4 linked regions of the Arabidopsis thaliana genome follow. The protein of the gene in region 1 interacts with the protein of each later gene in a pairwise test. Each region holds a gene or a part of one and is shown in the gene's direction. Other genes may lie near its edges. The genes, in order: TOE2, IAA20, PHV and GI.

What was found.
Region 2: the proteins of TOE2 (region 1) and IAA20 interact in binary tests that used the Arabidopsis thaliana proteins (3 or more experiments, as listed by UniProt).
Region 3: the proteins of TOE2 (region 1) and PHV interact in binary tests that used the Arabidopsis thaliana proteins (3 or more experiments, as listed by UniProt).
Region 4: the proteins of TOE2 (region 1) and GI interact in binary tests that used the Arabidopsis thaliana proteins (3 or more experiments, as listed by UniProt).

What each region holds. Positions count from the first base shown.
Region 1 is NC_003076.8:24,205,175-24,213,183, forward strand, and holds TOE2 (target of early activation tagged (EAT) 2), read left to right. Parts: upstream 1-2,514; 5' UTR 2,515-2,978; coding exon 2,979-3,511; intron 3,512-3,648; coding exon 3,649-3,674; intron 3,675-3,763; coding exon 3,764-3,794; intron 3,795-3,899; coding exon 3,900-3,987; intron 3,988-4,060; coding exon 4,061-4,206; intron 4,207-4,579; coding exon 4,580-4,668; intron 4,669-4,796; coding exon 4,797-4,987; coding exon of another isoform or gene 4,988-5,110; exon of another isoform or gene 5,111-5,121; coding exon 5,122-5,235; intron 5,236-5,404; exon of another isoform or gene 5,405-5,587; coding exon 5,588-5,893; 3' UTR 5,894-5,920; exon of another isoform or gene 5,921-6,287; 3' UTR 6,288-6,569; downstream 6,570-8,009. Other genes in the region: AT5G60130 (AP2/B3-like transcriptional factor family protein), read right to left, coding at 6,697-6,957, 7,042-7,680, 7,782-7,852, 7,929-7,938.
Region 2 is NC_003071.7:19,304,386-19,309,571, forward strand, and holds IAA20 (indole-3-acetic acid inducible 20), read left to right. Parts: upstream 1-3,328; 5' UTR 3,329-3,475; coding exon 3,476-3,848; intron 3,849-4,218; coding exon 4,219-4,315; coding exon of another isoform or gene 4,316-4,319; exon of another isoform or gene 4,320-4,426; coding exon 4,427-4,484; 3' UTR 4,485-4,686; downstream 4,687-5,186. Other genes in the region: AT2G46995 (uncharacterized protein), read right to left, coding at 5,083-5,186.
Region 3 is NC_003070.9:10,794,519-10,803,324, reverse strand, and holds PHV (Homeobox-leucine zipper family protein / lipid-binding START domain-containing protein), read left to right. Parts: upstream 1-2,231; 5' UTR 2,232-2,580; coding exon 2,581-2,801; intron 2,802-3,312; coding exon 3,313-3,472; intron 3,473-3,602; coding exon 3,603-3,718; intron 3,719-3,799; coding exon 3,800-3,890; intron 3,891-3,985; coding exon 3,986-4,081; intron 4,082-4,167; coding exon 4,168-4,281; intron 4,282-4,357; coding exon 4,358-4,441; intron 4,442-4,519; coding exon 4,520-4,675; intron 4,676-4,761; coding exon 4,762-4,836; intron 4,837-4,910; coding exon 4,911-5,017; intron 5,018-5,089; coding exon 5,090-5,279; intron 5,280-5,371; coding exon 5,372-5,560; intron 5,561-5,643; coding exon 5,644-5,724; intron 5,725-5,810; coding exon 5,811-5,951; intron 5,952-6,039; coding exon 6,040-6,329; intron 6,330-6,427; coding exon 6,428-6,545; intron 6,546-6,628; coding exon 6,629-6,778; intron 6,779-6,850; coding exon 6,851-6,997; 3' UTR 6,998-7,201; downstream 7,202-8,806. UniProt on the Arabidopsis thaliana protein: Probable transcription factor involved in the determination of adaxial-abaxial polarity in ovule primordium. Specifies adaxial leaf fates. Binds to the DNA sequence 5'-GTAAT[GC]ATTAC-3'.
Region 4 is NC_003070.9:8,059,341-8,068,601, forward strand, and holds GI (gigantea protein (GI)), read left to right. Parts: upstream 1-2,410; 5' UTR 2,411-2,641; intron 2,642-2,850; 5' UTR 2,851-3,057; coding exon 3,058-3,222; intron 3,223-3,302; coding exon 3,303-3,357; intron 3,358-3,435; coding exon 3,436-3,578; intron 3,579-3,662; coding exon 3,663-3,934; intron 3,935-4,080; coding exon 4,081-4,136; intron 4,137-4,305; coding exon 4,306-4,543; intron 4,544-4,669; coding exon 4,670-4,820; intron 4,821-4,946; coding exon 4,947-5,156; intron 5,157-5,256; coding exon 5,257-6,789; intron 6,790-6,901; coding exon 6,902-6,970; intron 6,971-7,271; coding exon 7,272-7,490; intron 7,491-7,582; coding exon 7,583-7,675; intron 7,676-7,789; coding exon 7,790-8,107; 3' UTR 8,108-8,450; downstream 8,451-9,261. Other genes in the region: PFL (Ribosomal protein S13/S18 family), read left to right, coding at 8,650-8,652, 8,837-8,997. UniProt on the Arabidopsis thaliana protein: Involved in regulation of circadian rhythm and photoperiodic flowering. May play a role in maintenance of circadian amplitude and period length. Is involved in phytochrome B signaling. Stabilizes ADO3 and the circadian photoreceptor ADO1/ZTL.

The sequences.
Region 1 (8,009 bases):
AATAATATAAAACAGTGACATTTTAAATTCTAGATAAAGACTCTGTTTTTTTTCTTCTTTAATGTATCAATATCGTTCCGTATAGACGCTTTAATGTGCAAGTATGTAACTCTAACAACCTAATTTTCACTTTGACATTTAGGCAAAAGTAAAATTAAGGTTGTACTTGGTAAAATCTTGATAAAGAGATTGAAAGAAAGGAATGTGGGCATGAAAATGAAAAAAAAAAACTAGATAAATTGTGAAACTGTTAAATTCCCTAAATTTAAGGAAAGTAAGAATGGACATGGGCCGTCCGATCAGATATGTGACCTAAGATGGCTGAGAGAGTAGTTGAATGGCTGGGGTTCAATCTCTGTTGTACACGTGGCTTTATACTACTCGTTAAAATCCATGATCTTCGAGATTTTTCTGACACTCTTAAGTTTTGGCAACCGGCTAAAACCAGTCGGAATGTTCATTTGACCTACCCCACTCAATAAACATTTCCAAAGAAAAAAGAGATTCGTATGGACACAAAGAATAGATATTTTTAGGTCATTTTCATTTTTTCGCCCGTAACCTGTGTTAAGAACATAATACGTTGTTACGTACATTTTATTTCTATTTTTAATAAACAATAATTTCCTTTGATTGTAAAAGAATCCCCCTTTATTGGCTTTTGTTCTTTCCTATGTCTTCTTGTACTCAAAATATATTTTGTTTTAGACTTTCGAAATTATCCATTTTGGAAACCTATCCATTTCTTTGTTGATCTCTTTGTATCACATTGCTCTCAAGCTATGTAGTAGTCTTAGAGATTTAGACAATACTAATGAATACAAGATACCATAAGATTTGATACAATATGTTTGTGTTATCAACGTTTGATCGGATATGTGTTTTTTTTCTACTTATAGCTATTCATTCAATGAAAATCTAAAAGAAAATTGAGACACAGTTGATGCAGAGATAATTTTCTCTAGCCTTGATAGATTTTTACAATGTGATATTGTAGGAACTAGGAAACACATGCTTCATTTTTATTTAGGCCATGAATGTTTGTAGTTTTTAAAATGGTTTTTGGATTTTGGATTTTGGTTTTTGGTTTTTAGTTTTTGATTTTCTTGGTTTTTGTTTTTGGTGTAGATTTTAGTTTCTTAAAAAACTTGAATGGTAATTTGTTTAGATTTTGGTTTTTATGTTAATGGATAGTATTTTTTTTACAAAACAAATCTAAAAATAAAATAAAAAATGTGATCGATTGTTTTTGAGAGAGAAACTCCCAAAACATAGATTTTGGTTTTCTTTGAAAAATTGTTAAAACACTCAAAAACTAGATTTCCTATATTTTAGGAAAACTTGTTTTCTCAAAATCTTGAATGGCTACAAAATAGATTTTAGAAAAAATTAAAACCAAAAACTAGTTTAAAAACCACACTCATTCAAGGCCTTACTAAAACTTGGCTACAAACAAGGCGAAGATAACATACATCATTCAATTTCAATAGTAATTAATGTGTCAAAACCTTAGAAATTAAAACAAAATTTCATCACTATGTCCAGTAAGAAAAACTAAAGCTATCAAACCTGATGTTAGTGATTTTTTTCCCCATCATCTTTAACTATTTTCCATACACATTCGTTTTTGTAATAATAACAACTTCTTAAAATGATATAACTTTTGTTACTTTATGCATGTAATTGTTGATTATAGCTAGCTTCTACACCTTTTTCTAACATGTGACACATTTTTTTTTACATGTGACACATTTGTTACGTTGGTTGGATACTTGTTATCCATATAAATCAATAAAAAGTCATATTATTCTATCTCACTCTTTTAAGTCTTTACAGATTTTTGTTTGTGAGGAGGACGTAGCTGCAAATATAGGACCCGCCATTAAATGAAAACAAATGCTTTGTCTTCAAAGCTATGAATATGTGACTTCAAAGTGTTTTTTGGTTTTTATGTGTCTTCAAAGTTGTGAATATAATAGTGTAGATTCGCTTTTCTTTACCAATCTTTGTTTGCAGATTAATAATAAGATATACTATATAGGATACAAAAACGAATTTCGTTTGATTCATTCTATAAATTTGAATTACTAAATCACTTTAGTTGAGTTTGTTCAAGGATAAAAAGTGAAACCCCAATTAAATTTGATGATTTTCAGATGTGTTTACAAAATGTTTCGAAGAACACGCTTCAAATTGATTTAACCAAGATGAACACATCCATTAAATCCTCATTCCATGAACAAAATGCACCTCATTGTCCCTAGGCCTTAACAGATCTATTTAGTACTAATACTGTATTTAATAACTTATCTTGGTAAAGAAATCACAGAAAAGCTTAACACATACAGTTTAAACCGTAAATTTATCATAGTAAAACTGTAAAAGCACTAATCATAAATTTAAACCAAGCTAATAAAACAAAAACAAGTAGCACGTTTTTACTTCAAACCGGAAACAGGCAAAACCGGTATCAAATTGCCGAGAAAGATGGAAGGAATAAATAAATGTTAAAATGTTCCTTTGTTGCCACTAACCCACAGGCTTACGTCCCATCATCATTCCCCGTTCTCTTTTTATTTTCTCTAATCGCCGACGATTATCTCTTTCGTCCGGCGATAGCTATTTTGTCTCTTCAAATCCCCATAGACCAATACTCAACTCTTCATCTCCATGTCTCCTCAATCTCATTTCTCTCCTTAGTGATTGAGCTTTTTCCTTCTTTCTCTTTGGTTATTATTCCTTCTCCTCCTCCGTCGTGTTTTTGATTGATTTCAGAATCTAAATCTCCGTTTGATTTCTCCATACTCGTGCTGATTTTCACCTATGTAATGTGATTTATGAGCTCTGTTTATTTCAAATCGACGGCGATCGTTGAATTTATTGATCAATGTGTAAGTAAGAGCTTGAAGAAATAGTTTTTGTTGTTGTTGTGAAAGCTCAGAGTTTTGTTTGCTTTTTTGTTGACTTTTTTGAGATTGATGCTGGATCTCAATCTCGACGTCGACTCGACCGAGTCTACTCAGAACGAACGAGATTCGATTACTGTTAAAGGGGTTTCTTTGAATCAGATGGATGAATCGGTGACGTCGAACTCTTCTGTTGTTAATGCTGAAGCTTCTAGCTGTATAGATGGTGAAGATGAGTTGTGCTCTACACGAACGGTCAAGTTTCAATTTGAGATACTGAAAGGAGGAGGAGAAGAAGAAGAAGAAGATGATGATGAAAGAAGTGCTGTGATGATGACTAAGGAGTTTTTTCCTGTTGCTAAAGGCATGAACTTTATGGATTCGAGCGCTCAAAGTTCAAGGAGCACCGTTGATATTTCCTTCCAGAGGGGGAAACAAGGTGGAGACTTTATAGGTAGCGGGAGCGGTGGTGGCGATGCTTCACGGGTGATGCAGCCACCATCACAGCCGGTGAAGAAAAGCAGGAGAGGTCCTAGGTCTAAGAGTTCTCAGTATAGAGGCGTCACTTTCTATCGGAGGACAGGCAGATGGGAATCGCATATCTGGTATATCTACTACTGATTGATTTATCTTTTAGATAGGTCTTAGATGAGTTGTTGATCTTTGGTCGAAAATGGAAGAGCTTGGTTTAGATTTTGTATTAATCTACAAGTTTCTTTTTTGTCAATTTTCATGGTTGCAGGGATTGCGGTAAACAAGTTTATTTAGGTATGGATTCTAATGGCTGTACTACTGTGAACTGATTTCTGCTGGGATCTTAGTTCTCTAATAAAAGCTTTAACTTTTGAATTCAATAGGTGGATTTGATACTGCCCATGCTGCAGCTAGGTAATGCCTTTGGAAATGATATTTTTTTGTTTGATCTTATTGATCACTCAACTGTTTTTTCGTTATGATACAATTGTTTCCTAAGTTCAACTTTCGTTGGTGTAGGGCGTATGATCGAGCTGCTGTCAAATTCCGGGGTCTGGAAGCTGACATCAATTTCGTTATTGGCGATTATGAAGAGGATCTCAAGCAGGTTTTGATTACAGATGTACAAATGAAGACATGTACGCTTTGATTTGTTCTTATCTGGTTTTCAAACTTTACAGATGGCGAATCTTTCCAAAGAGGAAGTTGTGCAAGTACTTCGGCGACAGAGCTCTGGTTTCTCAAGGAATAATTCTAGATATCAAGGAGTTGCTTTGCAAAAGATTGGCGGGTGGGGAGCTCAAATGGAGCAGCTTCATGGAAACATGTAATTAACTTTTCCTGGGATCTAAGTATGGGCTTTTACAAATGCTATGTTATTTGTGTTTTTGTCTGAATGTGGTTGTCAGTCATTGCTAAAAAGAGTGGAGTGGTTCAGATGAAGAGTTTGGTAATTTTTCGTTAGTTGAAAAGGGCTTCTGTTAGAACCATTAGCAGGAAGACCCGTTTGTGATTATGAGTTATATATAGAGATTTTGATGGCTATGAGACATTTATATCTATCTTGGGATGATTGTCATCTGAGTATGAGCTGTACGCTAGTGATGGTTGTAAATTACATTATGAGGAAGTCTTTTATCCTGAATTATTGATCTATTAGGAAAATTCATGACTAATTGCTCAGATTCTTATGGAATTAGGGGTTGTGACAAGGCAGCCGTACAATGGAAGGGAAGGGAAGCTGCTTCCTTAATTGAGCCTCATGCATCCCGAATGATTCCCGAGGCAGGTAATGTAATTGATGTTCCTTGCTTGTTAAACTGGTCGATGCTATGCAGCTTTTGCTGTCATCATTGATATCTCTGCTCAATATTTGAAAAGCTACGACTAACTTGTTTTCCTGATCTTATTATTTAGCTAATGTTAAGCTCGACCTCAACTTGGGAATCTCTCTTTCACTAGGAGATGGTCCGAAGCAAAAAGATAGGGCCCTCCGGCTTCACCATGTCCCTAACAATTCCGTATGTGGAAGGAACACCATGGTGCAATTTTTTCTTCAGTGCACCAAATATGATTTACTTTACTTTCATATGCGTTTTGCTGCAACTGTTAGTCAAATGTTTCTTTGTCGATATGTCATAGCAATCTGGAACTCAAAGATACTGTCTCCTTTGCTAGCTCGAGCCCTCATGTTTTTTCATTTATTCATGAATTTCTTGCTCTTCATTTGATATACTCACAGATGGAGAACCACATGGCTGCAGCGGCATGTGATACGCCTTTCAATTTCTTGAAGAGGGGTTCAGACCATCTTAATAACCGGCATGCCCTTCCTTCTGCGTTCTTTTCACCCATGGTAAATAGTAAATACCATAGCACACATCTCGTTATATCCAACTGTTTGTCACTGCCTCACAATTTTTACCTTCTGTCCAGAACTAACATACAATATGAAATAGAATGACAATTTTAAATTTATCGAACTTTACCCTACCTATGAGTAATTTGTGTGATATGAAATTCAGCTAGATGTTCATCAAGTGGTTACTGTTGTGATATTTGATCAGTTAAGTACTTGAGCTCAACTCTTTGATATCCTTTGAGAACAGGTCTATGTTGTTGCTTGTTAGTTCTTCTTCTATGTTGTGATATTCTTGAAGATTTGAATGAATAATCTTCTGTCCTAAAAGTTAAATTCTTGTCTCCAGGAAAGAACACCAGAGAAAGGGCTTATGTTACGTTCTCATCAAAGCTTCCCAGCCAGGACATGGCAAGGGCATGATCAGTCCAGTGGTGGGACCGCCGTAGCAGCTACAGCACCGCCACTGTTTTCAAATGCAGCATCATCAGGATTCTCACTCTCAGCTACACGCCCTCCTTCATCCACAGCTATTCATCATCCTTCTCAGCCCTTCGTCAATCTGAATCAGCCCGGTCTCTATGTTATCCACCCATCTGATTACATATCTCAGCACCAACACAATCTCATGAACCGCCCACAACCACCACCATAGCTTCCTCCTTCCTCCGCATAACTCAAGGTAAGACTTTCTTGGAAACAACAACATTCAACTCATCGTTTGGCTCAGCACACAAGCTGTAGTTTCCTCTTCCTGTTATACGTTACGTTTACAATCCAAAAGAAAAAAAAAAAAAATTTTGATAGAAGACCACTAAAGAAAAAGAGTTTGAGATGTTTGTATTCATATGAATCTTGATGGAAACATGAAAAGTATGATGAATGCTTAGCGAATAGAAGAAGACTAAGGAAGAGTTCCAAGTTGTGTAGTATTATCACCCTCCTGTTTTCTGCTTCTCTGTCAATCTCAAACACATATTTGAGGCAATAGTTTTCCTAAGATCCTACAATACTACACGTAATAACATACTTTGTATGTGAACGTGCAGGTTCTACACAGCCCTGAGGTTGGAATAAGTTGGAAGGCCAGCCAAAACGACGCTGAATTCTCCCAAGATCTGTTGTACTTATTGTCATTGTGTGATTTATCTTTCTGCTTTTGATTTGTAACATAAACTGAGGGATAATACCAAAACAGAACCCAAACCCATTTGCCATTTTACTATAATGTCTCTGATATTAATATGAACAGCGTAAAGTACAATGCATTCTATATGTATGAATGAAGAAAGCTATTGAGACTTGAGAGACTATAAATTTGTATAGATCTGATAAGTTTTAGAAATTAAAAACTCTTACATTAATTCAATACACCACAATAATCTTGATTTAACTCCAAAACACGTAACTAAAGACAGAGAGATGGAGAGAGAGAGAGAGAGAGAGAGATATAAATAATCATCCACTGATAATGTGAATCTTGATTGTTTGAACCAGGTTATTATCACCAGTCTTCTTGATCTCAAATATCATCTTATCCGTTGTCTTCACTTTATTCCTTCTGATGATACTGCCAAATCCCTTGACAAACACACTACCATTTGTCTGAATCTTGATCTGCTTCTCCAATGTCCCGAATTTTTTCACAAGTGGATCGACAAGAGTGATACTCTCAGGGAAGTGCAAGTCATAGTCTTTGATAACCCGAGCTGGGATGAGCTGCTTTATGAAAAAAAACATCATAAAAACTCACAACCCAACGATGTTAAATGAAAAGCTCTTTCACATTCAGTTTTTACTTACCAGTTGGCTTTTCTTCTTCGGATTAAGGATCAGAGTAAAAGATGGGTTCTCACGATCATCCAGATACTGTCTTTCATCTTCATCATCATCATCAGCCTTAGCATGATCTCTAGAATCAAAAGCCTCAACATAATCATCATCTTCAACAGGAACATCATCAGCAACATTATCAACATCTTCATCATCAGCATCATTATCATCTTTCTCGACAGCAGCTTCATCAGCATAATCATCACTATCATTGTCTTCACCACAATTATAATCAGAATCGTCATCATCCTCATCAAGAGATAAAACATCATCACTGGCCTGATTTTGTTCATCACTATCAGATTCCACTTTGATCTCCTCGCTTTGATCTGAACTTCTTCTTATCTTTTTACACATTGTCCTATGCTCATAGATACAGAAATGGAAACAACTAGAGCCATCAAACTCAAACTCTAAGAAATCTCCTCCCTTGAGATCTTCGTCCTTCACAATCCTCTTCCACCCATTAACCATAACGAATTTCTCAGTATCATCATCACCACAACATTTCTTTAACTCCAATTTCCAAATATTTCCAGAAATGCTTCTAACAGTTACAGTTTCAGGCAAAGACTTTGGTAAAAATCTGGTGAAAGAAATGGGTAGTACCTGCATTATACAATCTAAAAGTTTCAACCAAATAGAAATCTACAGAAGAACATCTCAGAAAAACCCACAAAAAAAACAGAGAGAAGAGAAGAGTGTTTTACCATATCATCTCCGGACTCATCAGGTAAGTAAACTTTGAAGAATTTTGGAACACAATTATCCAAAGAAACTCCTGTTCGATAGCAAGAAAAGATCAAAACAGAGGATACATTGTGTAAATGTAGAATCAAGAACAAAAAAGAAGAAACCTTTGTTCATCTTCACTTCTGTCTGCTCTTTGTCTAGATCTCTGTGAAACCCTAATTGTTTGATTTAACTGAAGGTTAATA
Region 2 (5,186 bases), on another chromosome or scaffold:
TGCATATGTCAAGTTTCCGTTAAACTTTGACGGGTCAGGCTAGAGCCATCCAAGTCCAACTATCCCGGTGACTAGCGTTTATATATATGCTACATAACCAGGCCCGGCCCAAGTGGGTAGTGCCTGGGCCTAAGGCCGGACTGTACATAACTGATCATTAATTTGAGTTCTATTTAACAAACATTCTATTGTTATTCCATGTTTTATTTATGATCCATACTCGTAAAATAATTCACTTATTTATTATATAGTTTATATATATATATATATATATATCAACATCGTATTTAATAGTTCACAAACATACATAATTTGTAGAGGATAAATTTACAAAAAAAATGATAGGGAAAAAAAAACACTCGATTAAGTGTCATAATGTGAGGAACGAGATTACGTCATACAGAATCCACAGGGACAAAATGTCACACTACCAGTGTATTTGCTTTGTAAGAAATTTAAAATCAATTCAAGATTTGGTAAATCTATATACAATTCATGAATTGCGTGCGTAATCTTAACATTTTTAAGGATTTAGAAGAACCAATAATATATAGTATCTATAAAAAGACACGCACGTAACATCTCGACTCAATACCTACACGCACGCATGCAAGTATCTTTTACTTTATGGAGGCTATTGTTTATCTATCTATATAAACGTATTAAGCTTCTGCATCCTAACCATGGAAGACCTCCACTTGATTGCCCTCGGGGGCTACTCTTCCATTCAAATTATATTACATATTTTAACACTTTTTGCTTCCATTAAATTACTTTCTTTAATATTAGCAGTTTACCTTAGAGATGAAAGTAACCAAACTTTATGTAAGGAATACAAATACAACTTTAGATAATATAAAAAAAAATTATTAAAGGATAAAAAAATATTAAAAAAATATCATGCATGCAAATTCTAAATCAAAATTGATTGCAAGAAAAAAAAAATACATATATAGGCACTCCATTCATTTAATCACCAATTACTTTTTGAATAGAAATTCTATGAGTTTTAAATTTTATATACGATATCAACGAAGAAATAATTCGACTTCTTCCAATATCATAAAAGTAACATAAGCAAGTTCAAAATTTAATGCTTCATTAAACCAAAATAAAATAAAAAATGCTTCATGAATATATATATATATATATATATATATTTGAAATTATTTGGTAGGGGAAGTAATGTTTTAAAACTTGTATATTATAACAATGAATACACATGTAATAATGTAAACATACATCCAATCAACAAATGAAAGAAACAATCCGATAATTTCAGTAATGTTAAAGCAAAGGGAGGAAACAAAAGGCTATGATTAGTCCAACAAGAGGGGCTACAGAAAAAGAAAGCCACGAGACATGCAAATGCAATCACGCATCTTAAAAGCAAGCCCAAGTTTTGACTGACAAGCAACCACGACGCAGTAAAGTGGAGTTCTCAAAATTAGCGCATATATAAAGTACTTGAACTATGTGTGTATCTTTCCAATAAAATGCAATTCTATAATGACTGCCAAAATCAGTACTTCATATTATTTTTGAGGAAATATCGTATATGTGTATCTTTTTCTAACAAAAGTTTTTTTATTCAATATAGAAAAAAATGAGTATATTTACAATTTACATATCATAAGATTAAAGTTGCAAAGAAATAAAGAGAAGATGCAAATGAAAATAATGGAAGAAAAGAGGGGACAGAGAGGAGGCGGAGGCAGTAAGAAAATAAGAAAGTGAGGAAATTGTAATTTGTAGTGTTGTTAGGGAACATCTCTCCTTTATCCTTTTTCTCTTGATTTTTTTTTTGTTTCTTCAATATTTCTCTAAAACTCAATTGGTTCCAACTAATTAGTACATTTTTTCCAAACTGAAATATCGAAACCTGAATTAAGCGAGGGAACCAAGCCGGTTTCAACTCTAGTGCGTATATGTCTCTAATTGCTTACATGGTTCAATCCAAACCAAGCTACACTATGCTTGCACGTTGTGTTATTTTGTGAAGGATGAAATTATAATAACGAAGTTTGATGAATTGAAATGAAATTAGTTTCGTCACGAAGCACACATCCATTAAAATTTGATTCTTATATTATATTTTCAATGAAATTATATAATTTTACCATAAGGCACGCATCCATTGTACAATGTACATGTTGTGGTTGAGGGAGTCCACGTGGAAACAAAAATGCCACGTGGGTAATGACAAGAAATATAGTCGTTGGTCGTTGTGTCGTGAGTGTGTGTGTTTCCTTTTTCTCGTGCTTGCAAATATGAGAAATGTGACGTCTCCTTAAGTTCCATAGACAAAGGAACTCTCATTAGGTCCTCTCTTTAAGGTGAACCATTCATTACTCATGCCCCCTCTCTTCCTTCGCTTTTTTTTTTCTTTTCAATTTTCAAATTTTCTCTATTTATTTAGTTATTATTACGTCTAACAACTTCTCTTTCGCAAATATATTACGTATGATTTACATCATTATATAGGCACTTTTTACCGGTTTGGAATAGTCCGTTTTAGACCGATTATGGCAGCGCTGATACAACTTGTTTAGTAGTTGACTAATTTTTTTTTATGTCTAAGCTTCGAATAAACGTAATTGTAAAGAAACAAAAATGAGATTTATCTTCTTTTTACATGAAATAAAATCGGTCTAAGACTTACTTATTGGGGGTTTTGATTATTCAAATCATCTGGTGGAACTAAATCGCATTGTTTTATGGTTAATAATGACTTGGACTTGAATCATCGTAGGCTCAAACATTTGTCATGCTTGCATACATATGATGGGTCCACAACTCCACATCGTAACTTTCGTCATAACTTTTGTTAAACAGAAGTAAAGAACTATACCTAATTAACTTAAGAAAGAAGTGTTAATCCGATTACTAAGCAAGCATTTACCCAAACACTTTCCGAAAATAATTTGTTTGATTAAAGTGTTAATTGTATCGAGGTCATATGAAAACACATTAATTTTGGAAATGTGGGAAGTAATGTAGTTCCACAAACGCCTCAATGCGCGTCACGATAACCTTTCATGCATTGAACACGATTAAGAAGATGTAATTTCTCAATATTAACTTTAATACTACTTCATATCATCAAAACAGCTAAATGTATATATTTATTTTTTGGGGTTAGATATCAAACATTAACTAGCGAGAAACCGAACCCACAAAATCATAACCAACACTTTGATCGAATCATCGTTTGACACGTGTTTTGGTCTGCTACACTAACAACATTTTTAGCGGACGCTGTCTCATCATTCCACCGTCGCTTTTTATTTGTGTGAACTTTGAACAAAAATACGAATTAAGACCATATCAAATTTAAAATAAAATAAAAACAAGTCCTAGTTTTATCTTCTATATAAACACACACGTACAAACCAAGCATGGCGGCTCATTACTCATTTGTCTTAACCTAAAATTATTATAAAAAGGATAGAGAGAGAGAGAGAGAGCTAGAGATATGGGAAGAGGGAGAAGTTCATCGTCTTCTTCAATAGAGAGTAGCAGCAAGAGCAACCCATTCGGTGCTTCGTCAAGTACTCGAAACCTAAGCACGGACCTGAGACTCGGACTCAGCTTCGGGACATCCTCAGGGACTCAATATTTCAACGGTGGCTATGGGTACTCCGTTGCAGCTCCGGCGGTAGAGGATGCGGAATATGTGGCGGCTGTGGAGGAGGAAGAAGAGAATGAGTGTAACAGTGTAGGGAGCTTTTACGTGAAAGTGAACATGGAAGGAGTTCCAATTGGAAGAAAGATCGATCTAATGTCTCTTAATGGCTACCGCGACTTGATCAGAACCCTTGATTTCATGTTCAACGCATCCATTCTCTGTAAGTTTCTATGTATACATAATGTCATATCAGAATGATTTATATGTCTTAGAGGTAGCAAATTTCTAACGATATTTTTTTCTTTCTTATAAGTCCGTTTTGATTTTTTTTTTTTTTTTACGGAATGAAAAAATACTTCCGCTCATTACTATTCTTTTGTTTGAAGGTTAATATCGCCGTAATAATCGCCCATCACTATTTCATAGGTTGTTTGTTTGTTTGTCAAAAAAAAAATCTGGATAACGTTATATGTCAGAGTTATTATTCCGTAGGTAGAGTTTATATATTGCGCAGTGTGTAAGTACTGTGTAATGGGTAAATTGTAAAAATGATGAAAACTGATGGGAATTGAAAAAATGGAAATATATAGGGGCTGAAGAAGAAGACATGTGCAATGAGAAGAGTCACGTGCTAACGTACGCAGATAAGGAAGGTGACTGGATGATGGTTGGAGATGTTCCTTGGGAGTAAGCACTCTTTTCATCCTTTTTTGTATAATTAGATTGTTAATTATGCAGAAAATTAACTATATGATCATCCTTATATATATTTTTAATTTGTGGGTTGATTTTTTGCAGGATGTTCTTGTCTACTGTGAGAAGACTGAAGATTTCAAGAGCTAATTACCACTACTGATATATAAGTCTACGTACTTGTTGTGTTTAAATCGAAGTAATGCCAAGAAAAAAGTTTTTGCCTGATGTAAATCAATGGTCGGATATTTATAATATTATTTTCATTTTTCTTTTGTGATAGATAGTACATAAATCTTGAACTCACTCTGATTATTCTCGGTAGTACACAAAAAAATAGTAAAAAAAGGAAAAAACAATTATCCGATCGACAATCATGTTTCAGTGCATTAAACCAGTCAGACCATTGGTCATTGGATATTTGAATTTATATAATTAGTTGAATGCTTTTATAAATAAAATTATAGGATGTACTTTCTTTTGTTTGTCAAATAGGATGTAGTCCAGTTTCAGAAAATACTAGTAGTCAAGAAAACCAAGCGACAAATTAATGTCGAGAGACAACTTCTAAATTTTCGAAGAATTTTTGGATTTGATTATCGATTTGACCACAATGTACATTTGATATATACAAGGAAGGAGGCAGGGGAAACAACAAATTCCCACCTGATATTTCCTACTTTGTGTTTTGGAAATAAATGGGCCTTCTCCTTTGATTAAGCCCAAGTTCGATCCCATCTATAAATAATGCAACTTAAAACTCACAAAAGTATTCGGCTTACGCAAAATATAGGGTTTCTGTTTATTCCAATCATAGCTTCCGGATCAAGCAAAACAGAGACCGAGACGGAGCAAATCGCTTCTA
Region 3 (8,806 bases), on another chromosome or scaffold:
AACCCTCAACTTTGGCCAGATCCATTTTTAAACCCTGAACTATATTTTTAGTAAAACAAACCCTGAACTAAAACCTGTTAATAAACTTAACCCCACAGTAATTAAATATTAATGGGATATTAATTTCCAAAAATCGACCAAAGAACAATGACAGAATCCGTGATCCAACTGAAGATCGTCCACCTCAAAAAGTTCTTTATACACGTGAAAAAGTTCAAATGGTAAAATAGAAAACAATGAATTATGTTTCACAAGATCTTCCTTTTCAAATTATTTAATTTAATCTTTGCATATTTAGACTTGTAGCAACTATCAACAAGTCGGACACAACAAACGTTCATGCAAGCGTAAAGCAGTGCCAAAACCACCCAAGAAACCTCAAAGACGACCAAGGAAAAAACAGAAAACAATGGATGAAGAGAACCCTATCACTCAGCCAATACAATCTTCTCTTCAAAGTTAATGCTTGACAAGTCTTTACTTTAGAATATCTTGTCCCTCTGAAACGATTGTTTTTTTTGTGACAAATATTGTTGTGTTGCAACAGCTTCGATAGTTATGTTGGTTGGATTTATTTAAGTATGACTCTTTGGATTATTTTAAGTTGTTGTGTCTTTCTTTCAGCTTCTAAAATCCAAACTAATTAAGCAATTCAAAATCATTTAGAACGTTTTTTTGTAATAAATTCAAAATAGTTTTAAAGAACATCATGTGGTTTTTGCGCTAAATACAAATGTCTCGTTGTTTTTTTTTTTAGAAATTAATATCCCATTAATAATTAATTACTGTGGAGTTAAGTTTATTAACAGGTTTTAGTTCAGGGTTTGTTTTACTAAAAACATAGTTTAGGGTTTAAAATGGATCTGGCCAAAGTTAAGGGTTTTTTTCATTAAATTCCCTAATTTATATTCAAAACTTTCAAAACAAGTTAAAGGAAATAAAACCAATTAAGGTTAACCAAAAAAAACAACAGATTTCACGCATCTCACGCGCATAGTGACATTGTACATACTTGTCATGCATCGTCTCTTCCACATGGATACAAAAGATAGGCATACAACAACACCATCATCATGAAAATATGTACATGCACATACATACATACATACAACGTCTTAGGACTAGAGAGCAAAGAGGGTAGGGAAAATTTGATGCTATGTTTGGGTAGGCCACTGTCACAGAGCTTAAAGAGAAGTGCTTTCTTTCCCTAAGTTAGCAAATTACCCCATTTTGTCAAAATTCCGTTTCTTCTGACAACAACACTTACGTTTTACGAATATAAATAGTTGTAGCATGATTTATTTTTGTTACCAATAGATAAACATATTTATTCTTATCGATTGCCATTAGGACTAGGGATTCTGATAATAATTGATATGTCTTAAAATTTGCAGAGACAACAACTTTGCGTGTTGGTTTTCTCATCTGTTTGTGTTTAGCCTTAGTCTGAAATCTGAATGCATTTAAGTTTTTCAAAACTAATCACTTTCAATCCTTTTTAATTGTCAACATCTACTTGTCCTTTTAATCTAATCCAAGAATATTGAATACAGAAACATGTTTACACAAAGAAAATTAGGTGGTAATGATATGAATTAGAGAAGTGTAATCAAGATTCCATCTCATATTAAACCTATTTAAAAGAGTTGTAAGAAAAAATAATAAAACAAGTAATTATTTACTTATAACTATGCATCAAATATTACGAAACTTTTAAAATGAATTGTTAATCTAATTCAATCAATATTATAATTATCTATTTAACTAATAATATTTATATGGTGGCAACCAAAGAATATATATGGGTCCAACTGGTAATTTAGATGAATTGTAAAATTTTTCGGAATAGTTGCAAACTATAAAAAAGAGTTGTACGAGAAAGTTGTATAATAAAATTGAGAATAAAACTTTTTATAACGTTTTTGATAAAGATTTTATAAATGATAACTGTCAAAGTTGTACAAACTCTACCGCTTTGATAATGAGTTATCAAAGACATAAACTTTTATCCTAGTTAATCATTTTAACTTTTAGAATTTAAGCTTTGAATTAAAATTCAAGCTTAGCTTTGTATAAGAAAAAGTTTAAATATTTTTACTTTGCCTTAACAGTAAAAAGCTTTTAACCAAAAACATTGAATTCAACCTACTCTCCCAAAAATTTCACCTTTAATTTTTTTTGAAAACAATATTTACCAGTTTAGTGCATCTTGTTGGGTTGTTCCTTGTCCTTTCTCTCTCAGAAAGATCTTTACTTTTACTTTTTCAGTATTTTCCTCTCTCTTCTCTCTCTTCTCTCTCTTCTCTCTACTTAGCTGCCTCGCTTTTGCTCCTTTTACCTCTTTCCATCTTTCAATCTCCTTTGAGAGAGAGAGCAAATGAAAAAAACCCAAAAAACTCTTTTCTCCAACCATTACCATCTCATGAACACTCTCACAGGAGGCTCTCTCTTCTCAGAGAGCCTACCCATCTAATATTTCTTCATCTGAGTCTCTTTTACTTCTCTCAAAGTATCGATCTTTATTCTTCTTTTTGTAAACCCTCTCTCTCTCTCTGATTTCTACTGACCTGTTTGGAAGATATGATGGCTCATCACTCCATGGACGATAGAGACTCTCCTGATAAAGGATTTGATTCCGGCAAGTACGTTAGATACACGCCGGAACAAGTTGAAGCTCTTGAGAGAGTTTATGCTGAGTGTCCTAAACCTAGCTCTCTGAGAAGACAACAGCTTATTCGTGAATGTCCCATTCTCTGTAACATCGAGCCTCGACAGATCAAAGTTTGGTTCCAGAATCGCAGGTTATTATTTCTTTATTAATTGTCTTTAATGGAATGTTTTTTGTGTTCTTTGATTGTTTCTGTAATTATAAAATTGAATTTCTTTTGTTTGTATTTGGAGACAAAAATGTTCTTGTCTGACAATGTTTTTGGTAATCTTCTTGTTTTTGGTCTAATTGGTGATTGTTAAGCTTTTGAAACTTTCAGATCTATGTCTATAAATTTGTTTTTCTCTTTTTGCTTATTAGGCTTTTGTTGACACAGTTGAAAGTTAAAATCACAAGGAAAAGTGACAGCTAATCAAACTGTCTTTGATGAGCTTTAAAACGCCTCTCTCTTTTTTTCCTTCTGCAGAGAATATGTTGGAAATTACATTATCTTTTGTTCTTTATGTCATTCTGGTATCATTCTAAAGCAAAAAAGTGTGTGTTTCTTCTGTTCATTTTTCTATTATTTCAACACATTTATCATACTGCTATAGGTTTGTCTTTAACTTTTCTGGTTTCTTTTGGTTGTTTTGTTGACTTTTTAGATGTCGAGAGAAGCAGAGGAAAGAGTCAGCTCGTCTTCAGACAGTGAACAGGAAGCTGAGTGCTATGAACAAGCTTTTGATGGAAGAGAATGATCGTTTGCAGAAGCAAGTCTCCAACTTGGTTTATGAGAATGGATTCATGAAACATCGAATCCACACTGTAAGTCCTTGAATCCCTTTTGCTAAATGCATTGTTGAGTTGTTATCTTTGATGCTTGTATATGTATTTGTTCTTTAAGAGTTCTCTGTTGTTAGAGAGTGACTGGTGAAATCTCTGTGTTGTGTCTTAGGCTTCTGGGACGACCACAGACAACAGCTGTGAGTCTGTGGTCGTGAGTGGTCAGCAACGTCAGCAGCAAAACCCAACACATCAGCATCCTCAGCGTGATGTTAACAACCCAGCTAAGTAAGGAAGGCTCTTTTTTTGTTTGTGAATTTCTCATTGTGACATTATGAGAAGAGACTAAATGGAGTGTTTTTTTGGTAGTCTTCTCTCGATTGCGGAGGAGACCTTGGCGGAGTTCCTTTGCAAGGCTACAGGAACTGCTGTCGACTGGGTCCAGATGATTGGGATGAAGGTAGATAAGTTGAAGTATTTTAACGTTTTCATATGTGGAAATGAAGTGGTTTTTAGAAAATGTTTTAATATGTATTTTCATGGTTATGTATGTAGCCTGGTCCGGATTCTATTGGTATCGTAGCTGTTTCACGCAACTGCAGTGGAATAGCAGCACGTGCCTGTGGCCTCGTGAGTTTAGAACCCATGAAGGTAATGGTGTTTTCTTTTTATTTTAATCTTGTGTTGTAAGAAGCGGAAATTCTACGAAGGCAATCTAAACTTCAAATACTGTGTAGGTCGCTGAAATCCTCAAAGATCGTCCATCTTGGTTCCGTGACTGTCGATGTGTCGAGACTCTGAATGTTATACCCACTGGAAATGGTGGTACTATCGAGCTTGTCAACACTCAGGTCTGTTTCATAAATCCATGAGTGTTGTTTTTGTTCCTTTAAAATGTAATGATCATTATTCATGGTTGGTTATCAGATTTATGCTCCTACAACATTAGCAGCAGCTCGTGACTTTTGGACGCTGAGATATAGTACAAGTCTAGAAGATGGAAGCTATGTGGTGGGTATTAGGACCTGGTTTTGTTCATCTATGATTCTATTTATTAGATTTGCCTTATATTTGCTTTTTTGCCTTCAGGTCTGTGAGAGATCACTCACTTCTGCAACTGGTGGCCCCAATGGTCCACTTTCTTCAAGCTTCGTGAGAGCCAAAATGCTGTCAAGCGGGTTTCTTATCCGTCCTTGTGATGGTGGTGGTTCCATTATTCACATCGTTGATCATGTGGACTTGGATGTAAGCATATTGGATTTGTAATAGCACATTAGGTTTCGTAAAAGCCTTCTATTTATGTTGATTGATACGTTTTTTTGGTTTGGTAGGTCTCAAGTGTTCCTGAAGTCCTCAGGCCTCTTTATGAGTCTTCCAAAATCCTTGCTCAAAAAATGACTGTCGCTGTAAGTTCCATATAAACCTTATCCACCCGTGACCTGATTAGGCTCTCTTTATGAGTTTTACTTCCACATTTCAGGCTCTGAGACATGTGCGCCAAATTGCTCAAGAGACTAGTGGAGAAGTCCAGTATAGTGGTGGACGCCAGCCTGCAGTTTTAAGGACTTTCAGCCAGAGACTCTGCCGGTAATACATTTCCTTGATAAGCTTAGTTTTATTTTCTAAAGCATTGTTCTAATTGCTTTTCTTGAAATTCAGGGGTTTCAATGATGCTGTAAATGGTTTTGTCGATGATGGATGGTCTCCAATGAGTAGTGATGGAGGAGAGGATATTACGATCATGATTAACTCTTCCTCTGCTAAATTTGCTGGCTCCCAATACGGTAGCTCATTTCTTCCAAGTTTTGGAAGTGGTGTCCTCTGTGCCAAAGCTTCTATGCTGTTGCAGGTGCCTATATCATGTTTTGACACTTGTGAATAGACAAAAGAACCGGTTTCTTCAATTTCTGACATCATTCTCTTTTTTATCTGCTCTTGAAGAATGTTCCACCCCTTGTATTGATTCGGTTCCTGAGAGAACACCGAGCTGAATGGGCAGACTATGGTGTCGATGCCTATTCTGCTGCATCTCTCAGAGCAACTCCATATGCTGTTCCATGCGTCAGAACCGGTGGGTTCCCGAGTAACCAAGTCATTCTTCCTCTCGCACAGACACTCGAACATGAAGAGGTACAAAGAATCTCAAGAACATTTTCCTTGTTGTCTATTCTTTTGCCATGCCTATAATCCTATTTTGCTTACTTGTTTCTCAGTTTCTCGAAGTGGTTAGACTTGGAGGTCATGCTTACTCACCTGAAGACATGGGCTTATCCCGGGATATGTATTTACTGCAGGTTTGCTTTATACTAAAGACACTCAGGGATTCTTAAAGATGAGTTATTGAAATTGAATTCTTGGTTTCTTTTTTGCTTTTGTCCAGCTTTGTAGCGGCGTTGATGAAAATGTGGTTGGAGGTTGTGCTCAGCTTGTCTTTGCCCCAATCGATGAATCATTTGCTGATGATGCACCTTTGCTTCCTTCTGGTTTCCGTGTCATACCACTCGACCAAAAAACAAATCCGGTAAAAAGAAAACTGTTTATGATAAGAAATTTGATATCTTGAAATTGACACAGTCCTTTTTCTTTTATTCCTGTATGTAACGTTACAGAATGATCATCAATCTGCAAGTCGAACACGGGATCTAGCATCGTCCCTAGATGGTTCCACCAAAACCGATTCGGAAACAAACTCTAGATTGGTCTTAACAATAGCCTTCCAGTTCACGTTTGATAACCATTCCAGAGACAATGTTGCTACAATGGCGAGACAGTATGTGAGGAACGTTGTTGGTTCGATTCAGAGAGTGGCTCTAGCCATTACGCCTCGTCCTGGCTCAATGCAACTTCCCACTTCCCCTGAAGCTCTCACTCTTGTCCGTTGGATCACCCGTAGTTACAGGTACTCTTCTTAGAACCTTAATCTAAAGACTTGTAACAATATAGAATGTGCTTATCTCATTTAATAACTCAATAAAATGTTTTTCTCCGATGTTTTAGTATTCATACAGGTGCAGATCTGTTTGGAGCTGATTCTCAGTCCTGTGGAGGAGACACATTGCTTAAGCAACTCTGGGACCATAGTGATGCCATATTGTGCTGCTCCCTGAAAACTAATGTAAGAATTCTGTTTTTTTAAGAGGTGCTCAATCTAGTTTATGGTTCGGTTTGGGAATTGTCTGATTATTTTTTGGTTCTCAGGCCTCACCGGTATTCACATTTGCAAACCAAGCTGGTTTAGACATGCTTGAAACTACACTTGTGGCACTTCAGGATATAATGCTCGACAAAACACTTGATGACTCTGGTCGTAGAGCTCTTTGCTCCGAGTTCGCCAAGATCATGCAGCAGGTTAAACATTTTCTAGCTAGTCTTTTAAGTCTTTCCCTGGAAAATACTAAGTTTGGATTGAATCTTCTTCAGGGATATGCGAATCTTCCGGCAGGAATATGTGTGTCGAGCATGGGCAGACCGGTTTCGTATGAGCAAGCGACGGTGTGGAAAGTTGTTGATGACAACGAATCAAACCACTGCTTGGCTTTTACCCTCGTTAGTTGGTCGTTTGTTTGATGAAGGAAAAGGTTGGTTATGTTAGATATTAAAAGTTAGGGGATGTTGTTTTTGGCTAAGGTTTGTTGAATTAGAGAGTCCATAACTCTATATGTAATATGGAAAAATTCTGATGATAATCTCTTTAATCAATTATGACATTATGTATGGCAAGATATTTATTTTTATTTATGTTTTGGACTTGTTTCGTTTTTCTTCATCTTCCTTTTACGAAATTTGATATATATATATATATATATATATATATATATATATATATATAGATAGATATAAGATGAATTATTATTAGTAATCTTATAAGTTTTTATCATGTGTTAATGTACAAATATAAACACAAAGATTGGCCTCAAAAGCATGTCGAATAAACTAAATTAATCATCATAGTTTTTGGCAAAAAACGTTTAATGGACTTGGTAGCTCATATGTAACATGAAAAATGTATGCGGAGTTTAGGTTGTATGCATAAATAATAATCATCCAAAAGATTAGATTTGAATGAATCTTTGACATTAAATGATCAATAATCATTACTAGTATTTATCTATTAAATTGAAATAGTATCTATCACAAGAAAACTAGTCATGATGATGCTGTTCTTTGACTTCTAGGCTGGAGGAACCTATAAACTTTTCTTTTGGGTAGTCTAGTTAGTAATGGAAGTTGATAAATAGCTTTTCTTTTGGACAGAAACCTACAAAACTCTTATGGAAGTTTTATACCGACCAAAAATATGGAAGTTTTATTTATGTACAATCTCTTTTTATCATTTTTCAGCATAATTTAAAGAAAATGGTGGAATATTTTTATATAACCAATAACAGAATTTTTTAAGTCTAAGGACAGCTATTTTAATCCGCTGTCTACATGAGTTATGTAAATCGATCGAGGTTTTACCATTTACGGATGAATGATACACACCAACCATAATCAAACCGTAAAAACTATTGAAAACCAGAACTAGCTACTACACTAGTACTAACTACTTAACCTAATGAATGAATAATTAACTAGAAAACGATAATGAAAAACAGATCAATAAATGAAAATGTGGGGCGGGTGATTTGACCGCTGCGTGATGAATGTGAATGTGGGGGCTCATGCAAAAAAAAAAAAAACATACAAGTTGAATTTTGTGTTGTGAAAAAAAAGAACGGTGAAAAGACAGAAGTGATTCTGTTTGGGACAGATCTGGCTTTGTGTAAGGAAATGCCTTACCCGATTCTGCCTTCTTCCTCCTTAGTCAACATTGCTGATGTCATTATTTCTCACCCATTTAATCCCTATAGAATTTATAAAAATGCAGTCCATATATTCAAAAAAAATTCTCATATGATAAGAGAATTGTGTATGTACAAACTTGCAAAACAAAATATACTTTTGAGTATTACTGAAGATGTCTAATTCCGTTACAGAAACTGAAAGACTGATTTGAATCAAACTGAGATTAAACTGATTTTTAAGGAAGGGATCAAATTATCATTCATGAATATGAATTCATTTTGTTTTTTTTTTTTCGGTTATAGCTCATTGACTTTCTGATTTTATAATATTTATGTGTAACCAAAGCCACCACTAAACCTCGGTAAAGAAAAAGCTCTGGTGCATATTTCATAAAATTAAAATGCTTTCTTATAGCAATTGATTAAATAATATTTTTCCCTTTGTAGCTTGCAGAGTTTTATAGCCATATATTTTCTAAATTTTTTTAAGAAATGTTATATTTTTTTTAATATGATTTTTCTTGTCATCCCAAAACCAAAACCATATTTTTTGCTAAGGAGTTTTGTTGTTGAATGTAGTGAACCTCTT
Region 4 (9,261 bases), on another chromosome or scaffold:
TTTATTTGAAAAACATATGTTGGCATGGTACATGAACCAGCTCGTTCATATGAAAATATTTTAAAAAGTCAACATCAGTGCTAATTTCAAATTGACCATACATTAGCACACAAGAAGACTAACAAAAAAAATGAGTGAATAAAGAAGAGAGTGAGTGGGGTTGATACATGTCACCGTCCAAAATGTGTCTGACCCTTCTCATTGGAGCTACAAGAGCCGACCCTTTGCCTCATCATTTGTTGACTTCACTCTCCTTTTACATATTTAAATTATAACTTGCTCATATTTCCATTCATTGTGTTCGGTTCTAGATTGTTCCATCCACTTTCTTTTTTCTCTTACTTTGAAATTTAGAAATATATGAATACTTGACAAATATTTGAATATTGTAACTGATTTGTTTGTTCGTAATACTTGACAAACTTTTTTGAATATACACCTTTACATATATTTTGAGTTGAGATAAAAAGGGAATTATGTTAGTTTATGGATTATATTATGTAAATACCACATCTAACTATGATCGGATGAAAACTAAACCAGCATATCTCTAATCAGTAATATTTACTAAATTTATATATCATTAAAGATTTTTTGAATTTAGCAAAAAAAGAAGAAGATATCATTAAAGATTTTTAAATTTAAAGTATAACATAATGAATAAATCAAGTGTTGAGCTTAGTTTCGCGTTGCAAAGATGTTCATTTGATTTTTTTTTTTTTTTTTCCATTTGATTTTTCTTATACTAAATTGATTGATGTCACGGTCCTTCTGTGAAAAAAGTATATTGTACTGTATAAATTTATAATAGTCATACTTGAAGATAACTAATATCATTTTCTAAAGGTTTTGTTGACAATGAAATGGGTAATGATGAACATCTCGTTTGCTAAACCACAAAAGAAATAATTCGTTGGACTATAACTTAAACTTATAATATATCAACTGAAATGCCTACAATTTGAGAATACGCCTTTTCAAAAAGTTTTAGAATTTTATAAAAATTTCTCCACCATAATATTACTTTAATAAAAGCTTGTTATTAAAATGATATATTAACAAAAAAAAAAGAGGTAGGCAAAGTAGCTTTTATTAAAATTAATGTTTTCCCTAATTGGTAAATCATAAACCAAAAAATTGAGGTAATTCTTAATATATTTACTATGATTAGAATGATACATTAATGTAACATTTTATCATCTTCATTAATAATAGTAAGTTCTCCTCAAAATTACAATTTGATATCAAAAAATATATTTGTATTACAAGCAATTACTGAAAAATTAAAATTACAATTTAGCCCAGTTACATAACTCCACGTAAGGTTTGAGCCCATCACATCACATGGTACATGACCAAAGCCCAGTTATGTTACCATGGAGTATTCTTCAGACAAGAGCCATCCAGACAGAAGTGGACCACACAATCACGAATCGTATGGAGATCATTACAATATATTGCTCACATCTTATTGCGCCACGTCTCTTATTTGGCGAGTGATCAACGTCCACAGATCTCTTGCTCCACTCTGATTGGTACACGTCATCATTTTATTGTGCTACTTGTTTATGTGGTACAGTAGAGACAAGTGGTAAGATTTTAAAATATCTTAAAAGATGTGTGAGGCCCATTTAGATATTTTCTCAACGGGCTGTTCCTCAAAAGCTGCCCGTTTATCTACAACCATCGAACGGCTCGAAACTATTCTGGGCTAGCTGCCCGAAATCTCTTAAAGGAATTTGTTGAGTGGGCTTGAATCAACGGTGGATAATTCGAAGGTGTACGTAACATCTCGTAGCATCTGAACTTAGCTCCCCTCAAAATATCTGTGGACATATGTCACTAGCTTTTTTTTTGTGTAATGAAACTATTAATTAATTAGGCAATCACATGAGAGATGTTATATACTTAAATTAATAACTCAATAATACAATCATGACCACCAAACCTTGAAATAAAATAATCTCTCTGATTACTTGTACAAATTCTTTACCAATATATGCCATACTGTGAATGTAATGGTTTATTTTAAAACAGCCAAATATTATTGATATAATTATATGTTTAAGTAGATTTTAAACTTAGCTCATGGTTAAAAATAGACAGAATTTTGGAGTAAATCTGAGTTTACAAAATTTATTTATTAGGATTAAAATTAATTACTTAAATTGGCAAACATTTTTCTTGGTGATTGTAACATACAATATACGAATTTGAATTCGCATTGTGATTCCAAAACAACACTAACATAAACTACCAGTAAAATTTTTTAAAATAAAATTTCATATATATATGCTTAAAAAATGTAACAAAAATATGGTAAATTTTTTAACCATGGTATGGGTGGAGATGTATGTGGGATGATGATGGTTATATGGTAATGGCGCATAAAGGTGGTGGCAAAGGCAAGGAAATATCGATGACACGTAAGCAGACGGGAAATCTTAAACCGAGTGGAGAAGCCTCCAAATCTCTTTTTTCTCTCTCTCTCTCCTAAGGCCACCACAATCTCTTCTTCTGTGTATGTATTCTTTTTTTCTCCGATATTCGTCGATCTCTCAAAAATATCCTCAAAGCCAAAAAAAAGCAAGAGTAGAGATAACCAACCAACAAACTCATAGGAAGACATATTTACTTTCAGGTCTTTCTTCTACTACCTTTTTCGTGGTTTTTGGTTGATTGATTCTCAGATGAGATTTTTTCCCGAATCATTTGATGTCTTTTTTTTTTAAATAAGTTCTTGGTAAATCACTGTTTCTACTAGCATTTTTTGTTTTCTCAGCTTAGATTTGTTGTTTGATTTGACATCTTATCTGATTGAGATTTTGTTCTTCTGAATTGTTGTTACAGGGTTTAGCTGTTTGATTCAGCTTCGATTTAGTGTACAGTGTGTTGATTAGTATAAAAAGGATTTAAAAGAATCTGGGAGATGTGTATAGTGATTGTTCTTGCTGGCGAATGTTAACACTACGTCGTATTGATTCTCGATTGATAGTAGAAGAAAGGTGTTAGTTAGATTGTTCGTTCATCTAGTTGGGGTTTAGTTTCGGTTCCTGGATGGCTAGTTCATCTTCATCTGAGAGATGGATCGATGGTCTTCAGTTCTCTTCCTTGTTATGGCCTCCGCCACGAGATCCTCAACAACATAAGGATCAAGTCGTTGCTTATGTTGAATATTTTGGTCAATTTACATCAGAGCAATTCCCAGATGACATTGCTGAGGTACTTGATACCTAATGAGTTTAATAAGAGTATTCTCTTAGTAGTGACGTTTTGATTCATGTATAATTTATCTGTATCAGTTGGTCCGGCATCAGTATCCATCAACTGAGAAGCGACTTTTAGACGATGTGCTGGGTATGATCAACATTTATGATCCACACTTCTCTTTTTGTGTGTGAATGTCTATCTGATTTTCGTTTTCTGATGAAACAGCGATGTTTGTCCTTCATCATCCGGAGCATGGTCATGCAGTCATTCTTCCAATCATTTCATGTCTTATTGATGGCTCGTTGGTGTACAGCAAGGAAGCTCATCCGTTTGCCTCTTTCATATCTTTAGTTTGCCCAAGTAGTGAGGTATATAATAGCTGTCTAGTATCATGCTTACTGATTTGGTGTAACCTATACCATTTTGTGCTAACATGTTCACTATCCTAACAGAATGACTATTCGGAGCAATGGGCTTTGGCATGTGGAGAAATCCTTCGCATTTTGACTCATTACAACCGTCCCATTTATAAAACTGAGCAGCAAAATGGAGATACAGAGAGAAATTGTCTGAGCAAAGCTACAACTAGTGGTTCTCCGACTTCAGAGCCTAAGGCTGGATCACCAACACAGCATGAAAGGAAACCTTTAAGGCCTTTGTCTCCATGGATCAGTGATATACTACTTGCTGCTCCTCTTGGTATAAGAAGTGACTATTTCCGATGGTAAGTAGACTCTGTTACTGATGCTTCTATGTGTTCATGCGCCGGCCTCCTTCTTTTATTTTGGTCTCTCTGCTGAGGTCTATGTATTGAGGTTCTGTAGTGGATTAAGCTTACTGACAACTAAAAATGTTGCTTATTATTTACAGGTGTAGTGGTGTAATGGGTAAATATGCTGCTGGAGAGCTCAAGCCGCCAACCATTGGTGAGTTCAAGAATTCCATGTTAATATCCCCTGGAACTGGATTTTGATGATAATTCTGATCAATAGAGTTGTTCTATCACTTCGTTCATAAATGTGTATCCATCACCTGTGGCTATAGAATGTGTTTTGAGTTGCTTCCTATAACTTTCATGTTGTCCTACTTTGGCAGCTTCTCGAGGATCTGGTAAACATCCTCAACTGATGCCTTCAACCCCAAGATGGGCTGTTGCTAATGGAGCTGGTGTCATACTGAGTGTTTGTGATGATGAAGTTGCTCGATATGAGACTGCTACGCTGACAGCGGTCGCTGTCCCTGCACTTCTTCTTCCTCCGCCAACGACATCCTTAGATGAGCATCTAGTTGCTGGCCTTCCAGCTCTTGAACCATATGCACGTTTGTTTCATAGGTATTGTTTCTGGGCTTACCCTTTCAATTAGGGTTTATTGGTAGTAGTCTGTTGCTAGTTTTAAGGTTGTGCTTCCTCGAATCCCTAGATCAGAATTGTTTTCTCACTTTCCTGTTATACTGTCAGATACTATGCCATTGCAACTCCAAGTGCTACGCAGAGACTTCTTCTTGGACTCTTAGAAGCACCACCGTCGTGGGCTCCAGATGCACTTGATGCTGCTGTACAGCTTGTGGAACTCCTTCGAGCTGCTGAAGATTATGCATCTGGTGTAAGGGTAAGCGTAATATGAATCTCTTAATTACCCTCCAGAAAGCTAATTGTGTCCCTTGTTATAAAAAAAGTCAGCTTTGGTATGTCATCAAAGAAATCAGCTTTGATCACATTCTTTTTCTTGGTGCAGCTACCCAGGAACTGGATGCATTTGCACTTCTTGCGGGCTATAGGAATTGCTATGTCTATGAGGGCAGGTGTTGCTGCTGATGCTGCAGCCGCTTTGCTTTTCCGCATACTCTCACAGCCGGCACTGCTTTTTCCTCCGCTAAGTCAAGTTGAGGGAGTAGAAATTCAGCACGCGCCTATTGGTGGCTACAGTTCAAATTACAGAAAACAGGCATGGTTCCTCTTTATATTTTTCTGCTATTCCATCTCTGATATGCGATTGGCATTCTACTAGAAAATTATATTGAAACTGACTCATTTCATCTCAACAGATAGAAGTTCCTGCAGCAGAAGCAACCATTGAAGCCACTGCCCAAGGAATTGCCTCAATGCTTTGTGCTCATGGTCCTGAAGTTGAGTGGAGAATTTGCACTATATGGGAAGCTGCTTATGGTTTGATCCCTTTAAATTCTTCGGCGGTTGATCTTCCCGAAATCATAGTTGCTACCCCACTGCAACCTCCTATCTTGTCATGGAATTTATACATTCCACTCCTCAAAGTACTTGAATATCTTCCACGGGGGAGTCCTTCGGAAGCATGCTTGATGAAAATATTTGTTGCCACTGTGGAAACAATACTCAGTAGAACTTTTCCGCCTGAATCTTCCAGGGAACTAACCAGAAAAGCTAGATCGAGTTTTACCACAAGATCAGCGACCAAAAATCTTGCTATGTCTGAGCTTCGTGCTATGGTCCATGCTCTCTTTTTAGAATCATGCGCTGGTGTGGAATTAGCTTCACGCCTACTTTTTGTTGTGTTGACTGTATGTGTTAGCCATGAAGCACAGTCTAGTGGTAGCAAGAGACCGAGAAGTGAATATGCTAGTACTACTGAAAATATTGAGGCGAATCAACCTGTATCTAACAATCAAACTGCTAACCGTAAAAGTAGGAATGTCAAGGGACAGGGACCTGTGGCAGCATTTGATTCATACGTTCTTGCTGCTGTTTGTGCTCTTGCCTGTGAGGTTCAGCTGTATCCTATGATCTCTGGTGGGGGGAACTTTTCCAATTCTGCCGTGGCTGGAACTATTACAAAGCCTGTAAAGATAAATGGGTCATCTAAAGAGTATGGAGCTGGGATTGACTCGGCAATTAGTCATACGCGCCGAATTTTGGCAATCCTAGAGGCACTCTTTTCATTAAAACCATCTTCTGTGGGGACTCCATGGAGTTACAGTTCTAGTGAGATAGTTGCTGCGGCCATGGTTGCAGCTCATATTTCCGAACTGTTCAGACGTTCAAAGGCCTTGACGCATGCATTGTCTGGGTTGATGAGATGTAAGTGGGATAAGGAAATTCATAAAAGAGCATCATCATTATATAACCTCATAGATGTTCACAGCAAAGTTGTTGCCTCCATTGTTGACAAAGCTGAACCCTTGGAAGCCTACCTTAAGAATACACCGGTTCAGAAGGATTCTGTGACCTGTTTAAACTGGAAACAAGAGAACACATGTGCAAGCACCACATGCTTTGATACAGCGGTGACATCCGCCTCAAGGACTGAAATGAATCCAAGAGGAAACCATAAGTATGCTAGACATTCAGATGAAGGCTCAGGGAGACCCTCAGAGAAGGGTATCAAAGATTTCCTCTTGGATGCTTCTGATCTTGCGAATTTCCTCACAGCTGATAGACTCGCAGGGTTCTATTGTGGTACACAAAAGCTTTTGAGGTCAGTGCTTGCAGAGAAACCGGAGCTGTCTTTCTCCGTTGTTTCACTGTTATGGCACAAACTGATTGCTGCTCCTGAAATCCAGCCCACCGCAGAAAGCACCTCTGCGCAACAAGGATGGAGACAGGTAAACCTCAGCACTTCTATTTCCCAGCTCGCTTACAGTTTCCTTGGTAGTTCTTTACTAATCCAATTAAGTCGCTCGACTTCATACACTGATCATATTTTTTATATATCAGGTTGTTGATGCGCTATGCAATGTCGTATCTGCAACGCCAGCGAAAGCAGCAGCAGCAGTTGTCCTTCAGGTCCAAATTACTCTTTGACTTTTTATTTCATTTGTCAGGAATGCAACACCTGTGTAAAGATTAAACTGCGGAAAACCTATGGCCTGTGTTAATGTTTTATAATGCTTGGTTCACTCATTTGATCTCTCATGAATTTATAAAAATTAAGCTTGGAATTTATATGCAACACTTGTTTTAATATGCCAAGGATAGGAAATAAGGAAGAAAAAATCTGTGTAAAATAATGGCTTGTTTCAAGCTCATATGTTGAAGGATTTACTCTAATGCTCTATTGTCTGAAATGGTCTTGTGTTATTTACAGGCTGAAAGGGAGTTGCAGCCTTGGATCGCCAAAGATGATGAAGAAGGCCAAAAAATGTGGAAAATCAACCAACGGATAGTCAAAGTGTTGGTGGAACTCATGCGCAATCATGACAGGCCTGAGTCACTGGTGATTCTCGCAAGTGCATCAGATCTTCTTCTGCGGGCAACTGATGGAATGCTTGTTGATGGAGAAGCTTGTACATTACCTCAACTTGAGGTACTGCACTGTTATAGATTGCTCTTCAATGCCCTTCTTCGGGCTAGAGTAATAATCATTTTCTGATTCCACTGTATTTTAAACTTTTGCAGCTACTTGAAGCCACGGCAAGAGCAATACAGCCGGTGCTAGCTTGGGGGCCATCTGGACTAGCAGTGGTCGACGGTTTATCCAATCTATTGAAGGTAAAAGCAGAATCGAACAGAGCCTATGGTTTCCTGCGTCGATTGTAGATGATCAGTAGTAGGTCCAGTTACCAAAGTGCTTAACCTTGTTCACATCTTTTTGCTTCTATGCAGTGTCGTCTACCAGCAACAATACGGTGCCTTTCACACCCAAGTGCACACGTACGTGCCTTAAGCACGTCAGTACTACGTGATATCATGAACCAAAGCTCCATACCCATCAAAGTAACTCCAAAACTGCCAACAACAGAGAAGAACGGAATGAATAGTCCGTCCTATCGATTCTTCAACGCCGCCTCAATAGACTGGAAAGCCGATATCCAAAACTGTTTAAACTGGGAAGCTCACAGCTTGCTCTCCACAACTATGCCTACTCAGTTTCTCGACACTGCGGCTCGGGAACTCGGCTGTACTATATCCTTGTCCCAATAACGAGCACCCACTTTTGTTTTTGGTAAATTTTAGTTCTCTAGACAAAACATTTGGACGTAGACCAAGAAGAATATATATATAGTTTGTTGTATGTAATGTTGTAATGATGAGTGACTGACGCAATCACTCCCACCGGCGTTGGATTTGCTCTCGCTCGGTGTCTTATATAACTCAACCTCTTCTCTGTACATTTTAAATGACGAAGTAGCTCAATCTTTTTTTTTGTGCGTCTGGTGTTTAGTCTTCAGTGGATTCTAAATCGTAATGTATAGAAGTGAAAAATTTACAAATTTACTTATTTCCGAATACTCTTAAAACAGCAAAAATTAATATTGCAAAAGATAATTTATAGTATTTTAATCTTTTTCCTCCAAAAAAAACATTAAAGGGTAAATTAGTAATTAACTACAGGAGCTTCATATTAGGTTGGAAAACCCTAAATATGCCGCTTATAACAGACCTGAGCTTAAGCTGTGGTGGCGCCTCCAGAGTCTGGTAAAAGAGCTTAATCCTCCTCTCGCGATCTTTCTCGGCATCCAAAAATGGTACGATTATCGTTCTTCAACTCTTGTCTGGTTCTCCAATTGCTCGTGCTTCATTTTGCGTATCGCTCGTTTTTCATTGCTGGTTTTGGGATTGGAGTTTTAAGCTCAAATGTTTTTTGTATTCCCTTACACGATTTGCGACTGACGGATCTGTTTTTTTTTTTTCGTATTCGTGTGTGTGTAGTCTCTAGTTGCGAACGAGGAGTTTCAGCATATTCTGCGTGTGCTCAATACTAATGTCGATGGGAAGCAAAAAATTATGTTTGCTTTGACCTCAATCAAGGGTATTGGAAGGCGATTGGCTAACATTGTGTGCAAGAAGGCTGATGTTGACATGAACAAGAGGTTTGTTTCTTAGCTTGGTTCTTAATACTTTCAGTTACTTAGGAATTCTATGGATAAGGATTATGAATCTTGCGAGGTTTTGGATGTTAGTAGAAAATGTAGCTCTTTGACTAGAATTGTACCTGCTCGATCTGGTTTGATTGATTTCTAGGAAATCAGATATTTAGGTTTTCTTTGCACATAGAACTTCTCTAGATTGATATTCTTGAAGAAGTTTGGTCTAGTGTGTGTTTTTAAATGTTTTTTCCTTTGCTGGTATATTCA